Arabidopsis thaliana: one gene and its partner. The protein of the gene in region 1 interacts with the protein of each later gene in a pairwise test. Each region holds a gene or a part of one and is shown in the gene's direction. Other genes may lie near its edges.

Evidence for each region. Proteins that work in one complex are often made in the same cells at the same time.
Region 2: the proteins of COL4 (region 1) and FES1 interact in a two-hybrid assay, tested with the Arabidopsis thaliana proteins (one large-scale study listed by BioGRID).

Annotation. Positions count from the first base shown.
Region 1 is NC_003076.8:8,582,049-8,593,810, forward strand, and holds COL4 (zinc finger CONSTANS-like protein), read left to right. Parts: upstream 1-7,408; coding exon 7,409-8,152; intron 8,153-8,556; coding exon 8,557-8,901; downstream 8,902-11,762. Other genes in the region: GDU5 (glutamine dumper 5), read left to right, coding at 2,617-3,012; AT5G24940 (Protein phosphatase 2C family protein), read right to left, coding at 9,359-9,982, 10,080-10,154, 10,232-10,323, 10,398-10,484, 10,568-10,726, 10,818-10,916, 11,077-11,204, 11,474-11,553.
Region 2 is NC_003071.7:14,308,543-14,316,223, reverse strand, and holds FES1 (Zinc finger C-x8-C-x5-C-x3-H type family protein), read left to right. Parts: upstream 1-1,509; 5' UTR 1,510-1,657; coding exon 1,658-1,781; intron 1,782-2,121; coding exon 2,122-2,215; intron 2,216-2,299; coding exon 2,300-2,523; intron 2,524-2,661; coding exon 2,662-3,953; intron 3,954-4,049; coding exon 4,050-4,079; 3' UTR 4,080-4,512; downstream 4,513-7,681. Other genes in the region: AT2G33840 (Tyrosyl-tRNA synthetase, class Ib, bacterial/mitochondrial), read right to left, coding at 212-308, 401-684, 770-923, 1,113-1,213; AT2G33830 (Dormancy/auxin associated family protein), read left to right, coding at 5,938-6,028, 6,135-6,333, 6,420-6,456. UniProt on the Arabidopsis thaliana protein: Transcriptional activator involved in the FRIGIDA-mediated vernalization pathway, but not in the autonomous flowering pathway. Acts cooperatively with FRI (FRIGIDA) or FRL1 (FRIGIDA-LIKE 1) to promote FLC (FLOWERING LOCUS C) expression.

The DNA of each region.
Region 1 (11,762 bases):
ATTTGCTGGTTAGAGCGTAATGCAAAGAGTTGATATATTTGCGGCTGCTAGGACATACTTTTCTCAGTATTTTAAAAATGTCTCCTTAGTCTAGTGGCTTAATGTGGTCAATGCTAAGATATCAGTGTTCGAACCATAGTCCTTCAGATTTATTTTTCCATATTTAACGTTTTTTCAATCGGTCCATTTTATTCTTTAGCTTAGGGCCTTTTAAAACTCAAGGCCAGCTTGACTTGATCGCATAGTGTTGTAGTATGCATTGATGGACCTATGTTATACATTTTTGTGTGTATGTCAATGTCATAGATATGCATGAATATCTTTAAATGGGTCCAAGGTTTTGAAAGTGCATGTTTACTTTACTTGCCTAATAATAATATCAAGGGAGAAATATCCACAAGTTGACAATGCATAAATTTATATTTTTGATAAAGAACAACCCATAATTCTCTTTTCAAGTTGTCATGTCTCCTCCAACTCCATCAATATATTCTCATAATCTCATTCATGTATTGTCACACAACTCAAATAATGCTTTAATGTACTCAGCTTAAAAATTAAAACTTACCTTTCCTCCATCAGTTGAAGTTTTCGATCGTTAACAAGTACTCACGACTAATATTTATTGATTTGTGAGTTGTATCTAAAATTATGTATGTCAGTATGTGGCTATATTAATATAAAAAGATCAAATTTAAGTTTCAATTGAAATTATATTTAAAATCAACATGAAAGCTTTACCAAAAAAAAAACCTCATCAGAAAGGAGATGTACGTATGAAAAACAGAGTTCAATATAATCAGAATTCTTTCGATAATTTATGAAGTAAACTCTCAAATTTCGGATATTACAACACATATGAATAAAAACATTACTCATAACTCATAAGTGAGTAAGAAAAATAACATAATCCAAGAATAAGAGCTAATCCATCTTATGGTTCACTAGACATAGTTTATTCATTTAGAGATTGTAGATATATGGTTTATATTAATGTTCAAATATTAATCTAACAATTTTGGCAATCGACATGATTAAAAAATGAAATATATTCTCTTCCAACTATGGATACAAATAAAATCTATGGATTGTTGTTGTGGAATATTAAAAAGTAAACCCATATATAATTTACTGTTAACGGCAAACATCATTATCCAAATAGCACCATCGAAAAGACACATATCCCTGGCTTAGCGTAATAACAAATGGCCATGTGAAATTCATGGGCCCGAATAAAACACAAAGCTGGGCCCTCTTAATATTCCTAAATCCAAATAATCATATAATTATGTTTTCTGTTTGTCTCTCCCAAATATGATGTCGATAAAATTATAAGGGTTCGAATAGTTGCGCCAGTTAGGACGAACCAATTCATTTCCAATTCATTTCCGGTTTATACTACTTTTCTTTAGTATTTATGAACTATAATTTGTTGTCGTGTAAAAAATAGAACAAGTATGCGGCAAACTAACTATAGATTGTTTTTACGTAGAAAAAAAGCTTGATTTACATCAGTTTATTGTCCGTTCCAAAAATAGAAAACATTTCTCTGCTTTTTTTTATTGCAATCATTCAAAACCTAAATTTATAATCATTTATAACACCAAGAACATATATAAATCATCTTCACTCATAAAACATAAACAAACTACTCTACTTACAATATGCATAACCTCCACTAAATATATATGCATCCACAATTTACAAAATCATCATGTGGAAATTATCTCATACTTTAGTGTAATGGTTTTAACTGTTATATCACTTATAAGAAATCAGCTTAAAATTACTCGTATATGGGGCTTGTAGACTACCTTAAACTCCAAAAAACTAGATTTTGAAGCTCTAAATTGATCAATTAAGATGTATAGTTGGCCACTCTTTCAGCTGATCGATCATGTATATATGAAACAAATCTACAACGAATAAGTAAAACAATATTGCTTGTTTTTCAAGACGCAATGGAATTCAAGAGATCAGTCAATTCTACTAATAAATAATTTTCTAAATAAACATGATAATTTATCTATTTTTGTAGTTGTCTTTTGTCAACAAATGTCATCTTCATAAATGATTTCTTTATCCAAAAAATCACAAATTCATTGCCATAAATAACATGGTAAGATCACATATTAAGTTGAACAAAAAAGGGATCACATTTTCAAATATCTACCTCATATTTTTTTTTGTTATAATTTCTGACACGAGGAGATTATGGAACTGTCTTTAACAAATAAAAAAAGGGATTACGGAATTGAGATCTTAAAGTTTGATTATCCAAAAAGGATTTTATAAACAAAAAAATCAAGGTATATATCTAAATGCAAAAACGTATGATTAAATATCTTCGAACCTGGTGCATGATCAAAGCAACGTAACGTATCATGAAGATTCCGTGACCCACTTACCTTCAATTTTGTTTTATAATAATATTGTGAAATATTTATTACATCTCTTCCCTCTATTGTTCTCTTCCAGTACTATAAATAAAATGTCAAACCACTCCAACAAAATCAAACTAGCTACACAGTTATAAAAAAAAAGTATAAGCTTCACAATTTTCAAGCTTCTTCTCCTCTGTTCTTTAACAAATCCAAGAATAAGAAATATAAAACAATGAGGCAATTTCCAAGCATAAGAGGAAACATAAATGAGAAGATGATGACAACAATGGTGGAGTCTCAGACACGGTCTCCGTGGCGTACACCGGTTCCTTACCTATTCGGTGGTTTAGCCGCCATGCTTGGACTCATAGCCTTTGCTCTCTTGTTGCTCGCCTGCTCCTACTGGAGGCTCTCGCGGCAGACAGAAGATGAAGAGAAACAGACGGAGTCCGGTGAGAAAGTGGTGGCTAAGGCTTTTGAGGAGAAGATTCTTGTGATCATGGCTGGACAAAACAACCCTACCTTCTTAGCCACTCCGGTCGCGGCCAAGATTTGCCTGGATTGTGTTAATATGGAGAAGAAAGAAGGACAAAATGGGGAATCTAAAGTAACAGAAGAAAACCACTGACTACTGAGCTCTGTTCTCAAGAGTGTACTTTTTTGGATTCTCTGTTTTTGTCGGTTTGTTTTTTGTTTGTTGGGGAAGTAGTTTTCCTCTGTTTTTGTCGACCTTGAGATTGTAAATTTTCATTAGAGTAGTAAATGTGAACAAAAAAGTTGAGAAATTTCGGGTTTCTATGTATAAATGTTGGTATATGAATATATTTTGCTAAATTAAAGGTATCAATGTGTCATTGTTTTGATCATTAATATTTCCAAATTAGTTTTGAGAGTATATCTATATCCTGCTATAGCTTAAAGATTTACTTGTAAAACTAAGAAGTTTAGCTACATTTTCATGGCCGAGTGGTTAGCACTCTAAGTTAGAGGAGCATATATTTGGCCAAGACCAGGGGAGTGATTTCCGTTCTGAACGTGTGAGCCATCACTGTGTCTACGTGACTACTGAAGACATCTTTACTGGTCAAAACACTTGATTTTTATTGGGTCCAAAATAAATCAAAATGACCCAAGTTAGCAAACAAAAAAAACAAAAAAAAATATTGTGTGATGGGAAATATGTAAACAAATGGAAGTTGATTTTTAGTTTATTTTGTAAAAGTTACATAATTTTAGTCATTTTTTATAAAATTAGAATGTTATTTTATCGGAGAGCTTTTTTTCCGAAAAGTTTTCTCTCTATACCAGCTCTTTTTCTCCTGGTCATTTTTTTCGACAAAATTGTGGCTCCGACTAACGTTCGTGGACTTCCAAAGCCACGACGTTGGTTCGGCTTAAGTTTTTAGGTTTGTTTTTTTCTTTATTTGGCTGGGATCTTTTGGTTTTTCTGCAGAGTATCTGTTCTCATAATCAGAGTTCTTTGGTCTATATATGCATCGGTCCTATGCCAACTGTCTAAGTTGTGGTTGGTGAAGCGGTATGGACGACCATCTCTTAAGCTTCTCCACTCGATGCTCCCTTTAAATCTGGGCGAAATCTGTTTTGGTTTGGGATTCCTTTCACCGGTAAAGTCGATGGTTTCGACATCACTTACCAGGATTTTTCTAACAGTCTTTTGTACAAGTTCGAAACTTAACGGTTAGGATCTAATGGAATTTCATGATTGTACTTTTGAAGTCTACTAATAAGCAAGTGAGACATGAAGATTGAGAGGTTATGCTTAGATTTTCATATTTTCCAATTTCAAAATTTCTAGCTAATTAGATAGTTGATATTTTTGCAGTTAGATCATTAGTTTCTCTGTTTGGTTTAATTATGTTTTTCATTTGTTTCAAGTTTTTATGTTTCTTCTGGATGGGGCTGTTGGCTCCGGAAGTCCGTTATACTAGCCGGTTTTGTATACCTCCTTAATTCGATAAATAAACATCAGTGACCAAAAATAAATAAATGTTATTTTACCTTACGACATTTTACTTTACATGATACCTACCACACATGTAATCTGAACGAAAAAACCTATACGCTAACATAGCCATACATAAGCGTTTTTACTATCATGTCATTTTTTGCAAAATTAATCATAATTTTAACTCAGGTCCTGAATGTTTTATAGTTTTTAATTGGTTTTTAGTTTTCGGTTTTTGAATTTTGGTTTTTGATTTTTGAAGTTTTTGATTTTTGTTGTGGATTTTAGTTTTTGCAAAATCAAGAATGGAAATTTTTTTATATTTTTTTTAACTCGAATGGAAATTTATATAATTTTTAATTTTTTTACTTAATCTTAATGTTTAAACATTTTTAAATTGTGTATTTTATCTTTGGATGAATTGATAAATGGTAAAAATAGCATAATTAAATAATAATAGTAAATTAAAAAAAAAGGGTTACGTAAATTGTTTTAAAAACCCACAAAACTTAGTTTTTAGATTCTATGAAGAAATAGCTAAAAACTCCTAAAATCTAGTTTTCCTATTTTTTAAAAAATCTACTTTTTGTAGAAGAATGAATGAGTAATTATTTAGTTTTTGCAAAATCAAAATAAAAAAACTACTTCAAAAATTGGAACCATTCAAGGCCTCAATCATTTGTCCATTTTTAATCTAAACGAAAAAACCCACTCCTTTCATTTGTTTCTTTAAATTTCTGCAATGTTTAATTTTTATTAAAACTTATGTTCGTTTCTTTCAAGTCATCTAGTTTAAGAATAGTACAAGAGCACAGTACGAGTGTACGACACGATCAATTTATGTTTTTTCACTTTATAGTTTTGCTCGTAACTCATATTTATTGATGATGACTCGACTCCCATGGTTTTTGCCGCCGGCATGCTTTTATGGGTTGGGAAAAAATAAGTAATTTGAGAAAGATGATGTCATAATATGGACATGTGTCCGTTCACAGATTGGCTTCAAAGAGTTTCAATATGTTTGACTTTGGAACAGTTGTATGAATTTGCTCTATTTGCTGCAACTACCTGACGCGGCGATGCGACTCTGCCTACATCATAACTCATAATTAATGCAACGCTCATTTGAATCAAACTTTCACAAATCAATACGGTTACACATTTTTCATGATGTATGATTCTGACACTTTCAATATTGTTTTTTTTTCTTTTTCTAATTAAGAGTTTTGATAATCACTCCTAATTTTTATTTTCATTTTAATTATTTAAGTTTCAATTATTATCATGCTTATATATTTCTATTTTTTTTTAATTTAATAATGTCAAATCAAATTTACTTTTGAAGTTTTAAATTTTATTAGTTGGTCAGACACAACACAACATAAAATTTATTTTGAGAAAACCAAGAGTACAAGATGTAATGTTTAAAATCGTGGTAGAAGTTTGATTTATGGAGAAAAGAAAAAGAGTTTTCATAAGAAAGTGAAATTTTTCATTTTATTTCATTATCAAAGCCTAAAATAAATGACGATTCTCTTCACTTTCTCATAAATACTCTTTTTTTCTTTTTTCTTTTTGCAGAAATCAGTCCACCGCGATTTTCAAAATCTTCATCTTGTACTCTCAATTCTTTTATTGCCTGTTGTGTTCTGTCTAGTTCTGATTTATGCTTAACTAATAAAATTTCCAAAAAAATTGATTTGACACAATTAAATCAGAATAATAGAGAAATGAGAAGCATGATAAATGAATCTTAGATAATTCAAAATAAATAAAAAAAAAATAAATAAATAATCTAAAATACTAAAATTACAACAAATTATTAGTAAAAAAAGAAGCATATATTGGTTTTACATATATATATATTTTATACATGTCAAAATCTGATCAATAGATATAATATGCGAGTTACTAATTTTGAAATAAGTCTTTATTTATATTGTAATAAGGATAGTAAAAATTTATAAGGTCTTATCCTGGAGTTATGTGTGGAATAGTTACGGTGCAGTTAACCATGAAATTTTGAAGAGGTATTTTTGATGACTATCTAGAGGGCGTTGATTTCTTTGTTGATAAAAAAAGAAATAAGTTTATGTGAAACCAGTGAGTTTGTGTTGTGACTTTTAGCAAATTGAGAAATAAAGTTATTGGGCTGAAATAAGCATTTTAGTGAACAACAAAACACATACATGCAGAATATATCAGTAATAACTAGAAACCAATGGTCCACATAAGGCCCATATTCAGCCCACTAGTGACCGACCTACCCACCGGCCATTTACTTTATCCTCGCTAGTCACAGTATCGTTTCCATTTAAGTTTGCTCCTCATGGTGGTGGTCCTAAAACTCATCTACCCATACTTCTTCACCACTTTTTTCATTTTATTTTGCAATAGAACCACTCTCTGTGTCAGCTTATGGATTTGAATGGTTACGACGGTTGGGGCGAACAAAACCGTCAATGGATCAGATCGTTTTTTGTTTTATCATTCATCAAAAATAGTCCGCAGTGGTCCGGACCAAAAAAAATAGAAGAAAACCGCTGCGGACCATCTGCAGACCGTTTTTACATACAAATAAACTTGGTTTACAGCGATTTATAGTCCGCCCCAAAAATGAGATGGAGTAAACCGCAGACAAATTAGACCGCTTTGTCCGCTGCCTCCATTCATAACCTATAAATCATATAAAAAAGTTCGTAGACAAATTTGCTACGCATCATTTGCTAAAATAAAACACCTGTTGCCAAATGTCGACGATCCAGAATTATGATTACAAGTATCATCATCATACGATTACAATTATATAAAGAAATAAAGAACACACAGAACTATAATGCCAAGTAATTTCATCAGAAATAAAATTACGTTGTTTGGCTAAGATTTTACCACGTGTCAACTTTTCATTCGATCTAGATGGATACCCATGGACCCCACATGGATAGACTCATTGACACGCTCATGTGAAGCCAATAGTAACACCAACCACAAAAGAAAGAGAGAGAGAGAGACACTGAAACATAGAGAGAAGAAAAAGAAGAGGTTTAGAGAGAGAAAAATGGCGTCAAAGCTCTGCGATTCGTGCAAATCAGCGACGGCGGCGTTATACTGCCGACCAGACGCAGCGTTTCTATGCTTAAGCTGCGATTCAAAAGTCCACGCGGCGAACAAACTCGCGTCACGACACGCGCGCGTGTGGATGTGTGAAGTGTGCGAGCAAGCACCGGCACACGTCACGTGCAAAGCAGACGCGGCCGCGTTATGCGTCACGTGCGACCGTGATATCCACTCGGCTAATCCGTTAGCTCGCCGTCACGAACGCGTTCCCGTTACTCCGTTTTACGATTCCGTCTCTAGTGACGGTTCCGTTAAACACACCGCCGTTAATTTCCTTGACGACTGTTACTTCTCCGATATAGATGGTAACGGAAGCCGTGAAGAAGAGGAGGAAGAAGCTGCTTCGTGGCTGTTACTTCCCAATCCAAAGACTACAACGACGGCGACGGCGGGGATCGTTGCTGTTACTTCAGCTGAGGAAGTTCCGGGAGATAGTCCGGAGATGAACACTGGTCAACAGTATTTGTTCTCGGATCCGGATCCGTATCTGGATCTGGATTATGGAAATGTTGATCCGAAGGTGGAATCGTTAGAGCAGAATAGCTCCGGTACTGATGGTGTTGTTCCGGTGGAGAATCGGACGGTTAGGATTCCGACGGTGAACGAGAATTGCTTTGAAATGGATTTTACCGGAGGATCTAAAGGCTTTACTTATGGTGGTGGTTACAATTGCATCAGTCACAGCGTAAGCTTAATGTTCTTTAATCACAGTGATTAATTTAATTGATTATGTTTGATTAACAATTATTTATCAATTTTTAACGAAAAAGTTTAGATCTTTAGGGTTTAGACTTTTGATGATACTTAAAATTATTAATTTATTGGGAAGTAATGATTGGCTGACTAAAATTTAGGGTTATGCGAGCAACATGTGTAAATTAATCTGTAATTAGAAGAAATATTATGATAATCCTTAATTTAAGTATCTAATTATGTATTAATCAAAGAATTTTGGTGTCTTCTTTTTCATTTGTTTTGTTTAATCTAGTGTAGATCTAATCATATTCACTTATAAGTTATAACCTATAGTATTTGTCAGTTTGATTGTACTTATTATAATGGCTTGATCCAATGGTTGGTGTAATTTAGGTGTCATCATCGTCGATGGAAGTGGGAGTGGTGCCAGATGGTGGTTCGGTGGCTGATGTATCGTATCCTTACGGTGGTCCTGCAACCAGTGGAGCTGATCCGGGGACACAGCGGGCTGTTCCGCTGACTTCAGCTGAGAGAGAAGCGAGGGTAATGAGGTACAGAGAGAAGAGGAAGAACAGGAAGTTTGAGAAGACTATAAGGTATGCTTCAAGGAAAGCGTATGCGGAAATGAGACCGAGAATCAAGGGACGGTTTGCGAAGCGGACGGATACAAATGAGAGCAATGATGTGGTTGGTCATGGTGGTATCTTTAGTGGGTTCGGACTTGTACCTACATTTTAGATATTGAGAGAGGGAGAGACTCTAAAATGGAAGATGGTGGGTGGTTTGGTGTTTGTTTTAGTAATAAGGTTTTTAACGAACGTTTAATTTAAACGAGTTTGTTTGTTTTTTGTTGATGAGTATTTTTAGTTGTTGTGGGCGATGAAGAGGAAGAGAAGTGAGTGGGTGGTGTTTAACTGTTTATAAGTAACTTGTTTTGTATATATCGTGATTTTGAATATGTTCTTGTTTATGTTATGTACTCAAACTATTTAGAATCAACAAGTTTACAAAATTTGGTACACTGCAAAAAGAAATTACATTGTTGAAGTTAAAGACCTCAGAAAAAAGGGTGACAAAGAGAAGAAACTTACATGAACGAGATAAATCAGTTTCGAGGCAAAATCTTTGGACACTAAATAGTTCAAAGTTAAATGAAGATGATACATTCATTTATCAAAAGAAGGTAGTGGACGTTTTAGTTAAAGATAGAGGGAGTTGTCTTTCTTGCGGCGGAATCACTATGAACTTTGATTGGTTTTCGATTCCTTTCACCCGTTGATCCGCTCTGTTCTGTTGCGGCCGGCTTCTTCGCAGTGCTACTGTCCAAGTCGTTGTGTACTGTGCTTTGCGTTTGATTAGGTACCTTGGCTGAACTCTTAGGCTCTGAGTCGCTGCGAATTTTGATTGGCATTTGACTCTTTTCCCCGGTTAAACCACTCTGTTCTGAAGAAACGCTGTGTCCTGTTGCTGTAGTCGCGATTGGTTTTTGGTTCGAGTTATCGGCACTTCTAGCTGCAATCGGCTTTTGGTTCAGGCTTTGACTGTCAGTGTTGCGGTCCAAGTCCTTGTTTACTGTGGTATGGTCTTGATTGGTTTCTTTGGCTGAGATCTTGTGGTCTGAGTCATTTCTAACAGCGGTTGGCACTTGATTTGCTTCCTCGGATGAGCTGGAACCGTTGTTGTTAGCTGACTTGCTCTCCAAGAAACGTACAACTACACATGTAATATTGTCTGCACTTCCTCTTTTAATTGCTTCTCCCACAAGTTTCTTGGTGGACTCTTCCGGATCTTCAACTTCTTTTACTACTGCAACTGCTTCCTGAAAGACCATCAGAGAGATCTCAATCATTGAGTTTGATGTGATACTTATCGGAACATGAAAGTAGTTTTTCGAAGAAGAACTTAATTTTACAAACCTCATTGGAGAAAACATCCCATAGTCCATCGCTGGCAAGAATCAGAAACTCAAGAGAATCATCAATCTTCTCTTCCTGAAGTTGAAGACATGACCTTAAGTGAACACAAGTAGATGTTGTGTGTGGTTTACAAAGCAAATGAAGATACAAACCTGAATTTCTGGATCAGCAACAACATATTGTTTAAGCAATCGATCACCAAACGCGCGGGAAACTGCAAGAACTCCTCCAACTCTCCAAGTCCCTGTTCAATCTAGGAGTTAGGCACACCGGAAAATAAGCCACAAAGCGGGAAATAACTCTACGGTTTCTTGTTACCTGCCCACATCACAAAACCACCAGCATTCTCAATCCGTTCACGCTCATCACTTTGGTCAGGTTTATGGTCTCTTGAAACAGCAAATGCTACAAGAGCACATGAATTCATTTCAGAAGATTTCAATAGATACCAAGAGTCATGACTTAATCAAAAATGTCAATAAAAGTACCATTTCCGCCACGACATATAACAGCTCTGGAATCACCAACATTAGCAACAAGTAAACGATCACCAACGAGAATAGCTGTGGAAGCAGTTGAACCAGCATCTCTAGTATGACTATTTTCTGACTTGAGAAGTTCAGAGTCTGTATGAGTATAGGCATCAGCTGAACCAAAAACACAAAGCAAATATATATGATCCCAAGATTTAGAGCAACAATAATAGTAAGTCCAAACGAAAAGAAATTGAAAGTAAACCTATTGCAGATTTGGTGTCAGAGATGAACTTAGGATGAGTAATAAGATTGCTGAAAAGGTGACGCTTCACATACTCAGCTGCTCTGGATCCACCATGACCTGCAAAAAACAATTAAAAAAACAAACATGAATACTTTTTGCTCTTTCTTATAAGCAACCCTAATCAATATCCAATTTGAGATCATATATATAAAACCTTCATAAAAATGTCATTGAGACATAATGTATAAATTCTTGTTAAGAAAGGGACCAAGAATACCATCAAAGACTCCAAATAGACCAACGATTTCTCCATCGATACCGTCGATCCTTGTCTCAAAAAAGTCTTCCATAGATGACCTTTTTCCAGCTGAGCTTGCATATCCATAGCTAAATTTTCCATTCTGACTGCAGTTCAAAAGTTCATAAACATTGTGATGAGTTCATGTTAAGGAAAACGAAAGTTCGAATCAATATAATCTTTGAGACGAAACAAACATGTAGCTAGCAAAAAAACAGATCACAATGGAACAAGTTCTACATGGCTTTTCATTCAAGTAACCTAAACTAGATCAAACACAGAGATCATTGATCAATCCTAAGCCCTAAATTTCGAATGTAACAAATCAATAATGTAGATATATAGATAATTTCAATCAAATAGAGAGGTAAGTGACCTGAGACCACCTCCGCTTGCGGGAGCTTCAACAATCCGCATTTGATTCGAATAAGATAACGCCAAGTCCATATATCCCATTTTTGCAGAAATTTCAAATACTACTCTTCAGAAACATACAGAGACCGCGACGGGATTAAGGAGAAAAGTCAAAGGAAACCTGAGGAAAATGATTGGAGAGAAGAATAAGGGGAAGAAGATTGAGAGATTTTCTCATTGATGGTGGAAGAGAAATACCGTAAGAAACAGAAAGCAGTGAGCGGTGTTACGTGTTCCGGAAGCAATGGTGT
Region 2 (7,681 bases), on another chromosome or scaffold:
AACTCATCAGCCAGATACACAAAATGTAACATTACATTGATAAAATCTGCAATCATATACAGCTTATTTCTAGCCTGGAGCTTTTATCAGGTGTTTTATCAACAATATAATAGACTTTCTGCTGATGTAACGCTTAAGCTAAATTTTTTATTCCGAGTAACTAGCAGCAGAATCAAAGACAGTTCATAAGCAAGCAAAGGCTTAACAGTACCTCAAGGAAAAAAATATCTGCACATTGCATGCATGGGTAAAGGATCTGGGCAGCACTCAGTTCATCAGTCTCACTACGTCCCATAATCTGCACACACCTTCAAGGACAAGAACCAGAGTCATTCAGGTCCCATCATTTCCCTCACATAATTACAACGTCCCAAGAATGGAGAAGATTTAGAAAAGTAACCTTAAGATTCTAGGGAGCTTGTTTTTGCGAGCAATGTCCATCACAAGAGGCCAATACTTATCTGCCTTAGAATTAATTTCTTCGGACGACCACAAAAACTCTACTTTGTCATTATCCATCCCAGCAGCCTTCCATATCTCTTGAAAGTATTCTCCAACCACTCTGATTTTCTTCAAGTCACCACCCATTTTGTTGTTCAACTGAGCAAACCAATCAGCAATCCAAATCTTCACTCTGCAACCAGCTGAAGTCATTTTGTTCACATTGATGACTTTCATCACTCCCTATTAAGAAAACAACAGAACCAAAATAGATTAGCCAACGCTTCCTTCCCACATATGGTAATGGAACAAAGGAAAACTAACAGACCTGAGCAATGTGCATTCTTCCTGATGGTTCAAAGCCGTCGTAGCAAATCGGAGCAGCCTTCTTAGCAAGAAGATTCTTTAGCTCTTCCTCTTGTATACATTCCTCACCGATACTCCTAACAATTTTGTATCTCTTCTCAACTTCTTCACTCATCCTGAAGAATTAGTAAAATTTCAATATCTACCAGACCAATAAGCAGATAACAAGATCTTTTCAATTTTAAATTCCATACTTCTAAATTGCTATAGCTTTTTCATCTCTTCCACTCTAATCAAATAATATAATCCAAATCAAAATTGAAGCGCGAAAATGAAAAAAATTGATGATTGGTAAGAAAACTCACTGGAATCCATCGGACGAAGAAGATGCCTGAGTTGATGAAACGGAAACAGCTTCCATCTCCGACGACAGAGCATTGACGATCTCCGAACTTTGGTCTGCCATCAAATTTAGCCGGCGGCTCCTTCACAAAATTGCGAAATTGCGGAGGATTCTTAGGGTTTACCAGTGGCAGTGATGGAGACAGTTAACGTGCAATATAGCACCACTACGCTTCACGATTTTCACGGTTTGATTCGATTCTCTTTAATTTTGTTTTGGTTTAATCCGGTTACTATAAAAAGGCAACGATGTGTTAATTTAGGAAATAGTTGGTAAAATTTGGAATTTAGTATGGGCCTTAATACTAAAGCTTTAATTATTTAGGAAAGGCCCATTAGATATAAAATAGTTCGGTGGTCTTTGTAACAATGGTGGTTTCGATATACCAAACGTATTCTCGGAGATCATCAGGACTCAACAGCGAGCTTCGGACCCCGATCACGCCGCAGTATTTTTTTTTATCAATTTACCACTCTCTGCGTTGGTTACCTCGCCGAAGACTTCAAGATGTCTGATTCCGACATGGACATTGATGATGATGAGGTCGAACAAAAGGTGCAAGTACATACAATTGTAAGAGAATCTGAATTGTTTGATAAACCACCAATTCAAGCTTCCAATTCCCACAACGGTTAGTATTTGAAATTCGTGATTGGTTACATGGTATTGTTGATTAATTCTGTCAAGTTCGTGTTTTTATTGATGGAAACACCTTTTCCAATTTGGAATTGATGAATTTTGTTCTAGAAGAAAGAGAGAATTGTTAAATTGACTAGATTTAGCTCTGATTAGAGGTTCAAAGACTTGGCAATTAGATTTTCACTGAAGCTCTTTTGTAAAAATTGTGGCTTTAATACCAAGTAAGCAAATTCAATTCTCAGAGTTTTGTGCTTGTTTCTGTAAGGAATCTCTTTTGTTTATTCAAAACAGCAGTTTTGCTAATATGTACTGATTAAACTTGTCTCATGTAGATGTGAAGAGGCATTCTGTAACAACACCTTTAGATGAGCAATCAAAAATCATAAAGGAGCAAGCTTTTGCTCAAGATAATGGTACTTTACCAAGGTATGGCAAAAAAGTTTCTGCTTAAGTTTTGCTGAAACTAAGTTAAGAGGTTGAAGCTTTTATACTGACAAATTCGGTTATCAGATTTCCTGCTCCGGGTATACCGCCAAGAAGCTTTTTCACTGGCGGTGGTGGGAATGAACCAGAACAAAAACGTGCAGCTCTTCCCTGCAAATTTTTTGCTAAAGGGTGGTGTTTCAATGGGGTGTCCTGCAAGTTTCTACATGTGAAAGAGAATTCAAATTGCACTAGTCAACAACTGGCGGAAAATAGTATGGCTGGAAACGGTGGTATCCGGTCTGATCTAGGTACGTTGTACCATGAATACTTATTCTTGTGATTCTATGTGGAGGTAGTTCCAACAATATAGAGGCCGGTGAATATCTATGGGGTTTAATTACTCTTTCTGAATCAACCAATAATTTATTTTGCTTATGTCTATTCAGAAAGAAGAATTTTGGACAGCAGAGAAGGTGTAAGAGTTTCCCAGTTAAGCGAAAACGGTGTGACATCGTTGCCTACCAGAGAGGATATATCTTTCATGAATCCTCAGAGAGTTTTCTCCTCCATGTCTTTTGTGAATCCCCCAGGTTCTCAGAGAGTTTTCCCGTTCAATAACGAGATGCGCTTTATGCCTTCATTTGAAAACATTAGAAGAGAGAGTTTGAAGCAAACGTATGGTGCTGATTTCACTGACAACAGGTCTCTAGTTATTAATAACGCCAATTCCTTCGCATTGAGAAGCAGCTTTGTTCATGAGCATAGACCTTCTATCAGTTCCTATTTAAAAACAGACATGGGATCTGCTGGACCAGCCTGGACAGGATCATTATCCAGTTCTGTTCCTATGAATGATCGTGCTTCTACGGTGGGGGATTTTGAAAATGGGAATAGTTTATCTGGATCCGGATCACTTCCAACGCTGCAAGGGGTAGCTGTTTCTTCTGATAAAGGCGCAGAAGCCAACACTACTAGCACTAAAAAGAAAGTTTCTTCAGATGACTGGGAACCTTCTGAACCTTTTAAAGCATCTTTTACAATTCCACCTTATATTCTTCCCTCGTCTGATGCCCTCTACGATCCTTTCACGGATATAGAGAATCTAGGAGACAGACCTCTTAATGATTCATTGTCAAGTAAAGGAGAACATGCACGGAAAAGTTCCTGCCAGCAGAAAGATGGTGATTCTGCTAGTGGTCCCCAAGCACGGGATTGCAAGAATGATGATAAAAGCAGTTCATGCAGTCAAAATCAACACCAAGAAACCGTGGCAAGGAGTTTGGAAGCACATGGAGTAGTGGAAGGGGTGGCTACGTCAGTGGTTGATCAAAATGATACAGCAACGCCTAGCAAAGAGATTTCTTCGGCTACGGCTGCAGAGAATAGAGTTGTTTTGAAAAGAATCAAACCTGCAGGGCATGATTCTTGGCATAGAAGTGATGGGTCTTCATATAAAAAGACAAAGAAATCAGATGAGATAGATGGTGAAGTGAGGTCAGATGCAGGAATGAAAGTAATGAGACTATTCCGGACTGCAGTTGTGGAAACCATTAAAGAAATGTTGAAACCGTTGTGGCGTGAGGGTCGTCTAACTAAAGACGTGCATAACATGATAGTTAAAAAAGCTGCAGAAAAGGTAGTCGGCGCCGCTGTCCAGTTTCATCAGGTGCCAACTGACACAGAATCAGTTGATCAATATCTTGGTTTGTCTGGAACCAGAATTGTGAAACTTGTCGAGGTGAGTTTCTTAGCTGGAAATAAAAGACACTTAAAGCAGGTAAAAACCTAAGTAGTAAGTATTGCATAAGCTAACAATTCTTATGTTCATTTGCAGGGGTATGTCGAAAAGTATGGTAAACCCTGAGTTATCAAACCAAATGTCACTTGGTGTGGCATGAGCTCAAACTGATGAGATTCCTGTACATTATGTCATCCTTCTTTTACTCAGTTATAGATTTAGTACGTAGCACCTAAATTCTTTGGAACTCCATTCCTATCCTTTACCGATAATGGAATAAGGTTGGAATGGGAGCTTGGTGGAGGAAATGTGTACACATTGTAAAACTCTTCAAAGCTTAATTTATGCTTAAAACAGTTTTCTTTTACCTTTGGGAATATGATTTAGAATGTGATCTTTAGAAGTAATGTGATAAAGAATGGTTGCCTTGGAAGCAGAGGAAAAGAGAAAGAAATGGAATAATGTTGAGGTACGTTTCCTAACTATTTGATAAGTAATTTAGCTTTGTGAAACCAAGATTTTTCAAATTAGAAGTTAGTTTTAGTTTTGTATTTCTCCATCAATATAAGTAAAACCTCTGTAAATTAATACTCGGTAAATTAATAACCTCTATAAATTAATAATTTCTTCCAATCCCGAGGTGAGACTAATGGAAAAAATGACATAAATCGATAAATTAATAAGATAATAATTTTTTTGAAAATCCTATGTAAATATATGGTCTCATTAATATCACAAATTAATAATTGCAGAAATGTATCAACTATATATACATTATATGTAAGAAATTTCTTTAAAATATATTTCTAATATTTTTTTTTGCTTAAATTTGTATTTATTCTTATTTGATATTGAGTTCTAATATTTTATTGTATCAAAAAATTTTGGTGTTGTTTTCTAAATATGATATTACTTTTTACTTGTAATTGATTCTTAAAAAATATTTTCTATAATGAAAAAATCTTAAATTTTTTTTAAAAGTTAATAAATTAGAAAAATATCTCTATAAATTAATTAATTAATCGATAAATTAAAACCTCTATAAATTAATATAATTTTTCGGTCCTAACATTATTAATTTATAGAAGTTTTACTGTAAGTAGAAAGTGGTTTTTGGTTTAGGATAAAGTGCATACGTTTTGTGTACAGTTTTGGAATTAGTTTTATCTTTTTCAAACATTTTAGTGAATCATTTGGACTATGATCATTAGGACATCATGAACTTATTATCTATGGTGGGTTTGTGGAAAACTATTTGATTAGAGTTACTGTTGCTTAATAATATTAACTTCACAAAATAATCAAAATATGTTTGTTGTTCCTATAATACTTTTCCACGAAAGACTTGGGATTCTTTTGATTTAAGGGTCCCTACACTTTATGACTCGTCGTCCTTATCCATATCTCCAGCTCTATACCCACCTTGCATTTTTTTTATTTCCACACTTCTCCCTCACTGCTCACGCTTCTCATGATCAATGGTTTGATCTATATTATAACATTAATGTTATATATTAAGGTCCTTTAAAGTAGGCTTATCCACATCCTAATTTCCAAAGATGGCGTGTATTTTAGCTCTAAACCCTGGAAGTTGCATGTTATATTAAAATGTTGTAAAATGACATATTAATACATAACACACAATTTACAATTATATTATGTATTCATGTTGTTTATTGACAGAGAATAATAACATTTTGGCTAAACGTATCAAATTTTAACGAAAATTCTATGTGCAAGTATATAAACTTCATTTGGTAATTAAGTTATCAATTACTTGTCAATTATTTCTAGTCTATTATAGTATTTCTCTAGATATTTTGTGGGTCAAATAAAAAATGAGAGAACTAGTCGACAAAGGAAAAGAGATATTTTTACGAATAGTTTAAAAATGAGTCTATAAATTAGATGAAGGAAGCCCTTTAGTAAGTACTTCACACTTGACACAATTCTATCCAAAATCAACCCAAAAAAAGAAAGAAATATGTGGGATGAAACTGTAGCCGGACCTAAACCGGAGCATGGCCTTGGCCGCCTCCGCAATAAGATCACCACCCAACCCCTTGACATCAAAGGTATTTATTTTTCTTTGTCAACCATAACTCCGTAATAAACTTGCATATACAGATCTTTGTAGAAACGTATGATCTCATAATTATATCATGTGATGGTTTTTGGAAGGTGTAGGAGAAGGGAGCAGTAGTAAAACTGTGGCGGCGGTGGCCGGGAGTCCTGGAACTCCGACGACGCCAGGATCGGCGCGTAAGGAAAACGTGTGGAGAAGTGTGTTTCATCCAGGAAGTAACATCGCCACTAGAGGAATGGGCACAAACCTCTTCGACAAGCCTTCTCACCCAAACTCTCCCACCGTCTACGATTGGTACGTACTCAGTTTCTGTTATTATTATCTGACCGGACGGTGTAGATCAGATCTAAGATGGTTTGACCGTTGTTGTGATCCCGCAGGCTATACAGCGACGACACTAGGAGCAAGCACCGTTGAGCCGAGAGGGTAGAGTGACATGAGAATGATGTAAAATAATTATGTTCTTTACGCCACGTGTTTATGTTCTGTTTCGTCTATTTTGGCTATATGTGCAATCTTTTATTTGCTTCATGTCGTTTGTGTTTGTTAGTGACCGTTGATTTCCACCATCTGGGTTAGTTTTTAGCTTTTAACGGTGGCGATGCGTCTTCAGTGTCTTGTAATATTTTTACTGTTCGGTAATATTACAATTAGCTTCTCTAATGATTTAGCTAACAATATAACTTAACTTAACTATAATTAGCAAAATGGAATTTAACTTAACCATGGTTGATCTCATATCATTATTTTTATTTTATTTTATTTGTTCATCATTAAAATATCTCAATCATGCATGGTTAGATGAATTCGTTGTGTCAACAAACAATTATGATAGTGATTTGATTAAATTTTAACTGAACTATGGTTGATCTCATCTCATTAAATAACAAAAACATAACAATGGTTAAATGCATTCTTTGTGTCAACAAACCATTATGATAGTGATTTAATTAAAGTTTATACATGTCTTTGGATACAGTTGTAATTTTTTATATATATTTTTTTGTCTGATTTGATATAATTATACAAAGTTACACAAAAAGAACCAATCCAAAGCTCAGGGATCAACCTATTTTAATCACCATGGTTGATCTCATCTCATTAAATAACAAAAACATAACCATGGTTAGGTGAATTCTTTGTGTCAACAAACCATTATGATAGTGATTTAATTAAAGTTTATACATGTCTGGATACAAATGTAATATATATTTAATTTTTTGTCATCTGATTTGATTAAAGAAGAAGATAGAATACAAGGTTACACAAAAAGAACCAACCCAAACCTGAGTCCTGCGGGATCAACCTATTCAAAGCACATTTTCAATACAAGGGGAATATACAAAAGAAGTGTCTCCACCTACACAAAAACACACAAGTTCATAGAGAAGAAAGAGATCTTTCACCATTAAACACACGTTACACACCTTGCAACCAAGAGCTACATACAAATGGAGCCGTAAAAGTCATTAGTTATACTTTGTGCAATGAGATTAGCTCCTTTATAAGTCACTTTGGATTCACTGCCATCTTCTATTCAAAACCTTAAAACGAGATGATAATATTAACACATATACCACAAAAAAGCATTGACCATTTCACATGCCATTCGTTAATCAATTGTAAACAAATTTTATGAAAC